Drosophila melanogaster: one gene and its partner. The gene in region 2 interacts genetically with the main gene of each other region. Each region holds a gene or a part of one and is shown on either strand. Other genes may lie near its edges. The genes, in order: GlyRS and corolla.

Region 1 (4,956 bases), on a different chromosome or scaffold from region 2:
AATTTATGGGTTTATTTTGGGGTATTCACCCCACTCTGATACAAAACTTTAACCATTCCATTTTTGTTTGCTACATTTTTTTTTTAACATTTTGAAACAAGAAAGAAAATATAACAGAATGAGTCTGTAACTCAGAAGCTGATTTTTCTTAGTTAGTCTACGAAAACTATCTGAATTATTTTCAAATATACTGTATAAATTCTTATTGTATCAGAGCTGTCGAATACCCCTGGATGATTTCGTTCAGAGTTAGCATTTTGAATTAGAGACGTGCACTAGTTTATTAGGATATTAATGCTTTTTGTTGTATGTACAGACTTAGTTTTTGTTTGCTTCCGATTTCCAACCCGTTTCATCACGCACCACAACCACAGTAAACCTTGAAGCGAACCCTCTCAAAAAAATGGCCAGAACTTTAACCCAAAACATAGAGCATCCCGATGAGGTGTTGTTAGGTTTGTTGTGTCCGTGTTTTTGAACATTTTTTTGGTTTTGTTTCGTACAGTCTTGAGTTTGGCCTTCGTGGCCGGCGATGACTTAATATCAAACGTGCAAAAGTCGTTGAATTAAGTGCGCCTACAGTGGATGCTCGCTGAGAGGAACCAAACTGGTTTTTTCTCCGCATTCTTAATAATTTTCATCGTGGGGGTTGGTTTCTAATTAAAGAACCTCCACTGTGCATGTTAAATGATGTAAAATGGTGTGCACACATACACGTACAATAACAAACTACGCTTATGACTAATAAATAAATTATAATGCATACTTTATACAGATCGATTGGCCCACTCATAAAAAAAAAGAAAACAACAAGACAACAACAAAAACAGGTCAAGAACGAAAAACGGTTAAACAAAAACAACTCGCAACTCACCGAACGAAGACCTTTGTTGTTGTGACCGCTGCCTCTTTGGCCGGTGTACGTGTGTGTGCGTTGTCGTAAAAACAAACATCAACCGTTATGTGTGGCAGCGCCTGTGAATGAGTTAATTTTTTAAGTGTTTGCAATAAAGATTTCGGAAAATTGGCAGGAAAACAACATTTGTATTAGCAGCTCAGGTGAGAGAGTGCCGAGAGAGGGAGAGAGAAGCACACCTTTCTGTTTTATCGCTCGAAATGCGGTCGCATAGCGTCGCTGTTGTTGCAACGCCGCGTCCCCTCGGATAGAAAACAACTAAACTCGTCCTGTTTTTCACATTAACCGCTTGTTTTTCAATTTGTGCGCTACGCGTTTGAGCAATTGGTTTGGGCAGCACTTGAGTTCGGCCGAACTAAACCAAAATTGAGCAAATTATATGGGAAAAACCAGACTGCAATGCTGCGCCTACATAATTAAAACAAAAACTAAACATATCGATAACGAAGAAGGCCCTACCCGATATCGATGTACTGGAGTGCTGAAAAACATCATAAGGTGCTGTTATTATCAGCCGCCCTGTTAGGGACAAGTGATCAATGTTGCCGACACGGTAACAGTGATTTTGGGATACCTTAATTTTATCAGAGCATTGTTTTTAAATTTAATTAATTTTTTAATATTATTAAATAATAATTCCATCGCTTATTCAACTATAAGTAAAGATGAAAGAATATGTTGAAACTATGTTGAAACCAAACTATCCAAGACACATTTACCAAATATAGCAAATAAAAAATAAATATAAAACAATAAAAACAAATAACATTTACCAAAGTCGCAACATTGCGCATCACTGAGCAGCTCTGTTAACCATAATCAGTGTTGTGCAAAGACAGTGCTGCAAGCCGGCCGACTAAGACTCATCCAAGTCGAAATTGCAGCCGAAAGTGAAGGTATTGCAGCAGTAGCCAATTGGACGGTTTATTACATAAATTCGCGTTTTTCGGCTGAAAAAATAAAAGCCTCTTTATGTCATTGCAGTTGTTAAAAGCGCTACCCCACCTGCGCAGCGCCACCACAGCCGTGAGAACTCAGATTGCAAGAACAACGTGGAGCGAGCACATTGCCACGAAAGTGTTTTTTAGCACCACTACCACAAAACCTACTCCCTCCGCACCACCACCACCTCCACCAACGCAACCGCAGCAGCCAGCTGCAACCACAAGTTGGGGCACCAAGAAGCAAAATAGAAAGGTAAAACTAAGATCCGCCGCTGCCGAGTTCATCATGTCGAATCCCGAGATTGAGGCTCAACTTGCCCCATTGAGGGAACGAGTTCAGGAGCAGGGTAACCTGGTGAGGGATCTCAAGGCGAAGGGTGCCCCCGAGATCGATGTGAAAAAGGCAGTAGCCGAGCTGAAGGCACGCAAGAAGCTGCTGGAGGACAAAGAGCTCGCCCTGACCCCCAGTGTCGTTAGTTTCGATCGCGCGAAGATGGAGGATCTACTCAAGCGTCGCTTCTTCTACGACCAGAGTTTCGCAATTTATGGCGGCATCACCGGCCAGTACGATTTTGGACCCATGGGCTGTGCCCTCAAGTCCAACATTCTGGCCCTATGGCGTCAGTATTTCGCCCTCGAAGAGCAAATGCTGGAGGTGGACTGCTCTATTCTGACTCCCGAACCTGTGCTCAAAGCCTCTGGTCATGTGGAGCGTTTCGCTGATCTGATGGTCAAGGATGTCAAGACCGGCGAGTGCTTCCGCCTGGATCATCTCATTAAGCAGGCTTTGGAAAAGCTATCTAAGGCCAAGGATGCAACTCCCGCCCTGCAGGCCGAGTGTGAGGATATTATCATTAAACTGGATGGCCTGAACAAACAGGAATTGGCTGGTGTCCTGGCCAAATACAACATCAAATCTCCATTAACCGGCAATGATTTAACAGAACCGATTGAGTTCAACCTGATGTTTGCCACCCAAATTGGACCCACTGGCTTGGTCAAGGGATTCCTGCGGCCCGAAACTGCCCAGGGTATCTTCGTCAACTTCAAGCGACTGCTGGAATTCAATCAAGGCAAGCTTCCCTTCGCTGTGGCTCAAATTGGCAACTCCTTCCGCAATGAAATCTCACCCCGATCGGGATTGATCCGTGTGCGAGAGTTCACCATGGCAGAGATTGAACATTTCTGTGATCCCGTGCTCAAGGACCATCCCAAATTTGGCAACATCAAATCGGAAAAGTTGACCCTTTACTCGGCGTGCAACCAGATGGATGGAAAGTCTGCCGCTCAGGTGCAAATCGGCGAAGCAGTGGCATCCAAACTGGTGGCTAATGAGACACTTGGTTACTATATGGCCCGCATTCAGCAGTTCCTGTTGGCCATTGGTATCAAACCGGAGTGCTTGCGATTCCGGCAGCACATGTCCAATGAGATGGCTCACTATGCATGCGATTGCTGGGATGCCGAAATTCTTACCTCCTACGGATGGGTGGAGTGCGTAGGATGTGCGGATCGCAGTGCCTACGATTTGGGACAGCATACGGCCGCCACAGGTGTGCGTTTGGTGGCCGAGAAGCGTCTGCCGGCTCCCAAAACGGTCGAGGTCAGCGAGATTGTGCCAAACAAGCAGGCTCTCGGAAAGACCTTCAAGAAGGAGGCAAAGAACATCACGGATGCGTTGGCTAAGCTTTCGCTGGAGGAGATAACCAAGGTAGAGGAACAGCTGGCTGGCGATGGTCAATACAAACTGACCACGGCCGATGGCCAAAGCCACGATCTCGGAAAGGACACCATCAGCGTTAAGCACTCTACGAAAACGGTCCATGTGGAGGAGTTCATCCCGAGTGTGGTTGAGCCTTCATTCGGCATTGGTCGCATCATGTACTCCCTGTTGGAGCACAGTTTCCAATGCCGCGACGGCGACGAGCAGCGGTGCTACTTTACGCTACCGCCTCTGGTGGCGCCCATCAAGTGCTCCATCCTTCCGCTGTCCAACAACACCGACTTTCAACCTTATACTCAGAAACTGTCTTCTGCCCTGACCAAGGCGGAACTTTCGCACAAGGTGGACGACTCCAGTGGATCCATTGGCAGGCGGTATGCCCGCACGGATGAGATTGCCATACCCTATGGCATCACCGTGGACTTCGACACTCTAAAGGAACCGCATACGGTGACTCTGCGAGATCGGAATACTATGAAACAGGTGCGCGTCGGTCTGGAGGAGGTTGTGGGCGTCGTCAAGGACTTGTCGACGGCGAGAACCACCTGGGAGAGTGTCACCGAACAGTATCCTCTGTTCGAACAGCAGGAGGCCAGCAAGTAACTGGTTGATCAAGGAGTTTCTTTCGCTTGGCACGCATTTACAGAGTTTCAAAGTTTTCTTATTTTTGTATAAATAAAATTCAATAATTCAATAATTTCTTATAAAATTCAATAAATATGCAACATTTAATGCTTTGCGCTTTGAAATGGGAGTGTGTTTATCTTCAATATGAATTTGATGTTTATTTTCAAAAAATATTTTTTCTCGGTGAAATTTCTTTTTAAATTATTTAATATAATTTTAAATATGCACATTTAAAGTTGTTTGGATCTATGACAATTCAAATTTACCGGATATTATGATTTATTTACACTTAAAATTGGTAATATAAAACGTGAAATTCCTTTTAAAAACGCAAACTATACACAAAGAGTAAAAATATAAACAAGGGAAAGTAATACGAATTATAGGCCATTTTTTCTTTAGATTTAAATCGCAAGTTTCCAAATAAATATGTAACCAGTCCTCACTGCTATGCTAAAATTACATTTGATTCTTGTTTATTTTTGCGGGAACTCAATTTTAATGCATAGGAAACCGCGCGGTTTTTGTGACGTTTAACAACACACGGTGAGTCACTGGTATTCTCAATGAAATGAGCGGTGGTCATACCATAAATACGTATGAGATATTAAACGAATCCAATTTCTAAAACCACGTGCAGCAAAGGCAAATAAACAATAAATTGTGGCTCGGATTGCCTCAGATTGAGTGTCCACCGCGAATTGAACCGATAACACGATAATCCTCCACATTTGGTGATCCCAAAG
Region 2 (4,590 bases):
CAGGCTTGGATCCTGGAGAGGATTTGGGCTTATCCTCCCGTCCAATTTCGCCCAATCTTAGCTTCTTGCCCGATTTGGTGGCGTTGGCAAGCTGCTGAAACTGACGGAACTTAAAGGACACCTGCTGCTCATCCTTTTTCACAGGCGGATTGTTCGTTACTTTGGAAAGTCTGAAATGTGAAATGGTGCAGATATTAGTTTAGCTGCCTTTTTCGACTGACTTGCCACTATGAACAAACTTCTTCTCCTTCTGTTCCAGCTGCTTGAGGGGATCACGGACGCCGTGGTGCTTGCGCACGGGAATCTTTCGTTTCCGAGCCATTTATTTTGGGTTTTGGTTCAATTTTTGTAAAACAAACTCGTGGTATCGACAGCATGGGTTAAAATACTAAGCGCGATGCATGCTGACAAATACCAAAACAAACCATAAATATACCAAATCGATTAAAGCTTGGACTCAAACCATTGGCGCCCAGAATTACAAATGAAATATTAAAGTTAAATATATATTAGATTAAATATATAAATGTATTTTACACTATGTATTGTATTAAGTAGTCTTCATATTCCCCTATTTTATAATATACATTTTTAATAAAGATTTATATGCTGTAATGAGAAAAGTATTTTATTGCAAGTGGTAAAATTTACTGTTTGCAGTAAAATTAAATATTTAAAGTCACGAATTTGTCTTAATTTATTGTTTTATTAGTTTATAAGCAACGACAAAATGAAGAATAAGTCTGAAACGGCACTTTCGAACTGAATACGTATGATTTAAATGTACATATGCATATTATGTACGCAAATTAATTTCATTATAAAGCTACAAATAATTTAGCTGAAGTGAAATTTTTTTTGATTGCAAATGGCAATGAATGAATAAGTATCTGGATATTAATTAATTGTCCGTTCTTATAAAGAACATACATTAATTTTTGACCAAAATACGTTAACAATTTAAAGTATGTACGCCGAGGCGGCAGTAGGTGTAACATCATTATCATCGCTGAAGTTCAGCAGGTAATCATCGTCAAAATTGTTGTGGGGCGAGCTGAATCGAAGTGATTGATCATCAAAGTTGTTGAATGTGGACGACGGATGCTTAAAGTAATCCGGCATTGGTTGGCTCATTGGGAACTCCTCCTCCTCCAATTTTAGTCGCTTGCAAGGCGGCGCCTCGTTTTCATCGCGATTGCTACCATAGTTCATAAACTGGGTTGCAGTAAAACGATTAAGAGTGCCCTTGGAGGTGCTGGGTATATCGTCGCTGGCCCAGGAAGATATGTTTTTGAAGGGAGAGAGAGTGTCGACTCTAATTATTTGTGGTTTATCGGAAATTTCATTGGATAGCTGCTCATCAGTCTTCGGGTTTTCGCCGATTTTTACTTGTTTGGCCGCATCAGCCGGCTCCTCCTCTCCTGAAGCCTCCCCTCCGGATTCCTTGTCATCCGATACGGATTCCTCGACTTCTGAGCCAGATTTCTCATCATATCTATCCTGTTCTAGATGCAAAACCTCTTCTGACTTTTCTACTTTTACCTCCTGCTCAAATCCTTCATCTTTCAGCGCCATTTCGAATTCTTCTTCTGATATTTCCTCAAAATCTTCGTCTGTGGCCTCCATTTCGTCACTGTCCTCTTCTAATTCCGCATTTGGGACACCTGCCTCTTCTGAAGGAGAAAGCCAATCGGTCTTCTCAAATTTCTCCTCTTCGATATGGCTTATCTCTGGATAGGGAGAAAAACGCACTTGCTTTGTTGGCGAGTTGGAAATGGCAACAGACTCGACCTCCTTGCATTTGATCAAAATGGATCGCAGAGGAGTCTCCAGCTTCTTAGTAGTGATCTCTCTATTCACGCTCGTCATGGATTTATTGTCATCTGGTCTGATATTCTTAAAGATGAAGTTGTTGAGGAAATCCGAAGCGGACTGAAATGGTGAAATGGTGCTAGCGGATGGAACACCAGCCAAACTTGGTTCAGCGCCCTTAGTGACACCCGTTTTAATCAAATTCCTTTTTTGCAACTGAAAAACGGAAAAGTTATTCACTTGGAATGGATATTTCGCAGCTACTCACCTCTTCCTTCAATTCGTTTATCAGCTTTCCCATCTGTAAAACGCTGACTATCTTCTTATTAAGCTTATCCGTCATACTTCTCAGCGTAATTGTCCACTCGCGATCCGACTGGTCCAGTTGGTCGTCCACTGAGGCTAGCTCCTTATCTGCCTCTTTTTTTAAGGCTTGCTCTTTTCGGAATTCCTGGACTGAAATAGAAGCTACTTGAGAATCATTTAAATAACACAAATGAACTTATACTATCACATAGGGTAAAAAATATTAAACAAAATGTTTTTTATTGTTTATGATTATATAGCATTCAAATGGATTCCGTATTCAATAATACCTCATACAAAATCTTACCGATGCTGCGCGATTCGAGGATTGTGTTCTGCTGATTCTCTTGCTCGGCCAAATCCTCCTGCAGCTTAATTTTGCGCTGGAACTCCTGCTCCTTGCGATGCACCGTGTAGTAGAGGATGTCCTGCAGCCCGGCCATTTCGAGCAGCTCCTCAATTCGCGTGATCTGGAACATACAGTCCTGTATCATGGTGTTGGCCTGTGCCATACCGGCACCGTTATCCTCCACTACCAAGGCGCACTGCTTGACCAAGGTCAGGTCGAATAGCACCTGCTCCAAACGCGGCCCTACAACTGAACAAGCAGAAACATGTATGTATAAATCTTACTTGGAGATTCGCGCATTATGCCCACTCACTCTGCTCCTCGACGATCAATTCTTTCCTTTTCTTGAGTTCCTTCTCGAGCTGCGCCATTTTGGTATCTTTTGGCCAATTTTGCCCCATAAATTCTTTGACAAGTGGATATTTTTCCATATTTTGTCCGTTCAATGTTTCCCCCCGATAAGCTTACAAGTTTGCGCGTTCAGTAATTTATCGGATATCGAATGCTAAGGCACAGCGATCATTGTTGAAAAGTGTCATAGATACTGAAGTCACAGCGATATATATCGCTTACTGTTTTAGAAAACTTATTTTAAAAAGGAATAAAAAAATGTAACGTACCGCTGAATATTAATTTAATTACAAGTTTTATTTGTTTAAGCTTTTTTTTATTAATGTTGTACAAGATTTGTAGAGATTTGCTCATCTCTGACGACAAGTGCCAGTGTTGGCAAACGCTCCGCCGAAAATCAGCTGTAAGCGGTGCTTGTTAAAAAAAAACTGACAGCAGCCGACGGACTTCACATAACATAAGAGCAAATTTTCAGCCTTTTCATTATTTTGGAAACGCCAGAATGCTGACAAACTGTGCCTCCAAAACACTGGCCGCCGTGGTGAGTAGCGCAGCCATCCAAACTGTCCAGTAATTCGCGGTGTCAACCAGGGAAGGCAACCTGTTCCCCGAGTTATATAATTGGCGACAGGAAAACAATAACATTAAGGATATGTGTTGTTATTTGCAGCGCGCCAACATCCGGGCAATTGCCACCAGCAGTGCCCGGGCCAGCGACAATCTGTTCGTCCATCGCGACACACCGGAGGATAATCCCAACATCCCGTTCGAGTTCACGGCGGAGAACAAGAAGCGCGTGGAGGCCATACTCAGCATCTATCCGGAGGGGCACAAGCGCGGCGCCATGATCCCGCTGCTTGATCTGGCACAGCGCCAGTACGGCTGGCTGCCAATCTCTGCCATGCACAAGGTGGCCGAGATTCTCCAGTTGCCCAATATGCGCGTCTACGAGGTGGCCACTTTCTATACGATGTTCATGCGCAAGCCCACTGGCAAGTATCACATCCAGGTGTGCACCACCACACCATGCTGGCTCCGCGGATCGGACGACATCCTGGAGACCTGCAAGAAGCAGCTGGGCATCGGCGTCGGCGACACCACCAAGGACAGGAAGTTCACCATCTCGGAGGTCGAGTGCTTGGGCGCCTGTGTCAATGCGCCAATGGTGGCGATCAACGATGACTACTATGTAAGCAATTCTAATTGCTAAATGTGTTTCCTGGTCATTTGTTTGTAGGAAACGCCAGTTTCACTCTCAGCCTCGTCCAGCGTTTCAATCTTAATGCGCTGAAATCGACTCTATATTGTGCAAACATTGCTAACGTTTTTTTTTTACTTTGCAGGAGGATCTGACATCCAAGGACATGCAGGACATCCTGAACGACCTGAAGGCGGATAAGATATCGCCCCCTGGGCCACGCAACGGACGCTTTGCCAGCGAGCCAAAGGGCGAGCCCACTTCCCTGAGCGAGGAGCCCAAGGGTCCTGGCTTTGGTCTGCAGGCCGGTCTGTAGAGGATGAGCAAGGAGCAGAACCTATCACTGATTGTCGAACGAAAGTTAAATAAATGTTAAGCAACTTATAGAGGTCATTGATAAAGGATTTTTGGATTTTTTTTTAAAAATATGCTCACTTTCCATTGGAAAGTTTCCATTTTGAAAGGTTACACATAAAATAATAACTCCCAACGAACTCGAGAATACTAGTACATTCAATTAGATGTGGAAGATCGCCAGAACCCCAATGCAAGCCAAATGTGCGTTTTTCATATC

The links.
Region 1: of corolla (region 2) and GlyRS, changing one enhances a phenotype caused by changing the other (phenotypic enhancement), as found in Drosophila melanogaster (one study listed by BioGRID).

Annotation. Positions count from the first base shown.
Region 1 is NT_037436.4:15,093,374-15,098,329, forward strand, and holds GlyRS (Glycyl-tRNA synthetase), read left to right. Parts: upstream 1-1,768; 5' UTR 1,769-1,888; coding exon 1,889-4,186; 3' UTR 4,187-4,313; downstream 4,314-4,956. UniProt on the Drosophila melanogaster protein: Catalyzes the ATP-dependent ligation of glycine to the 3'-end of its cognate tRNA, via the formation of an aminoacyl-adenylate intermediate (Gly-AMP).
Region 2 is NC_004354.4:17,629,102-17,633,691, forward strand, and holds corolla (corolla), read right to left. Parts: upstream 2,947-4,590; 5' UTR 2,899-2,946; coding exon 2,781-2,898; intron 2,717-2,780; coding exon 2,426-2,716; intron 2,269-2,425; coding exon 2,081-2,268; intron 2,029-2,080; coding exon 961-2,028; 3' UTR 690-960; downstream 1-689. Other genes in the region: CG8326 (uncharacterized protein), read right to left, coding at 1-170, 240-322; ND-24 (NADH dehydrogenase (ubiquinone) 24 kDa subunit), read left to right, coding at 3,321-3,359, 3,489-4,007, 4,162-4,332.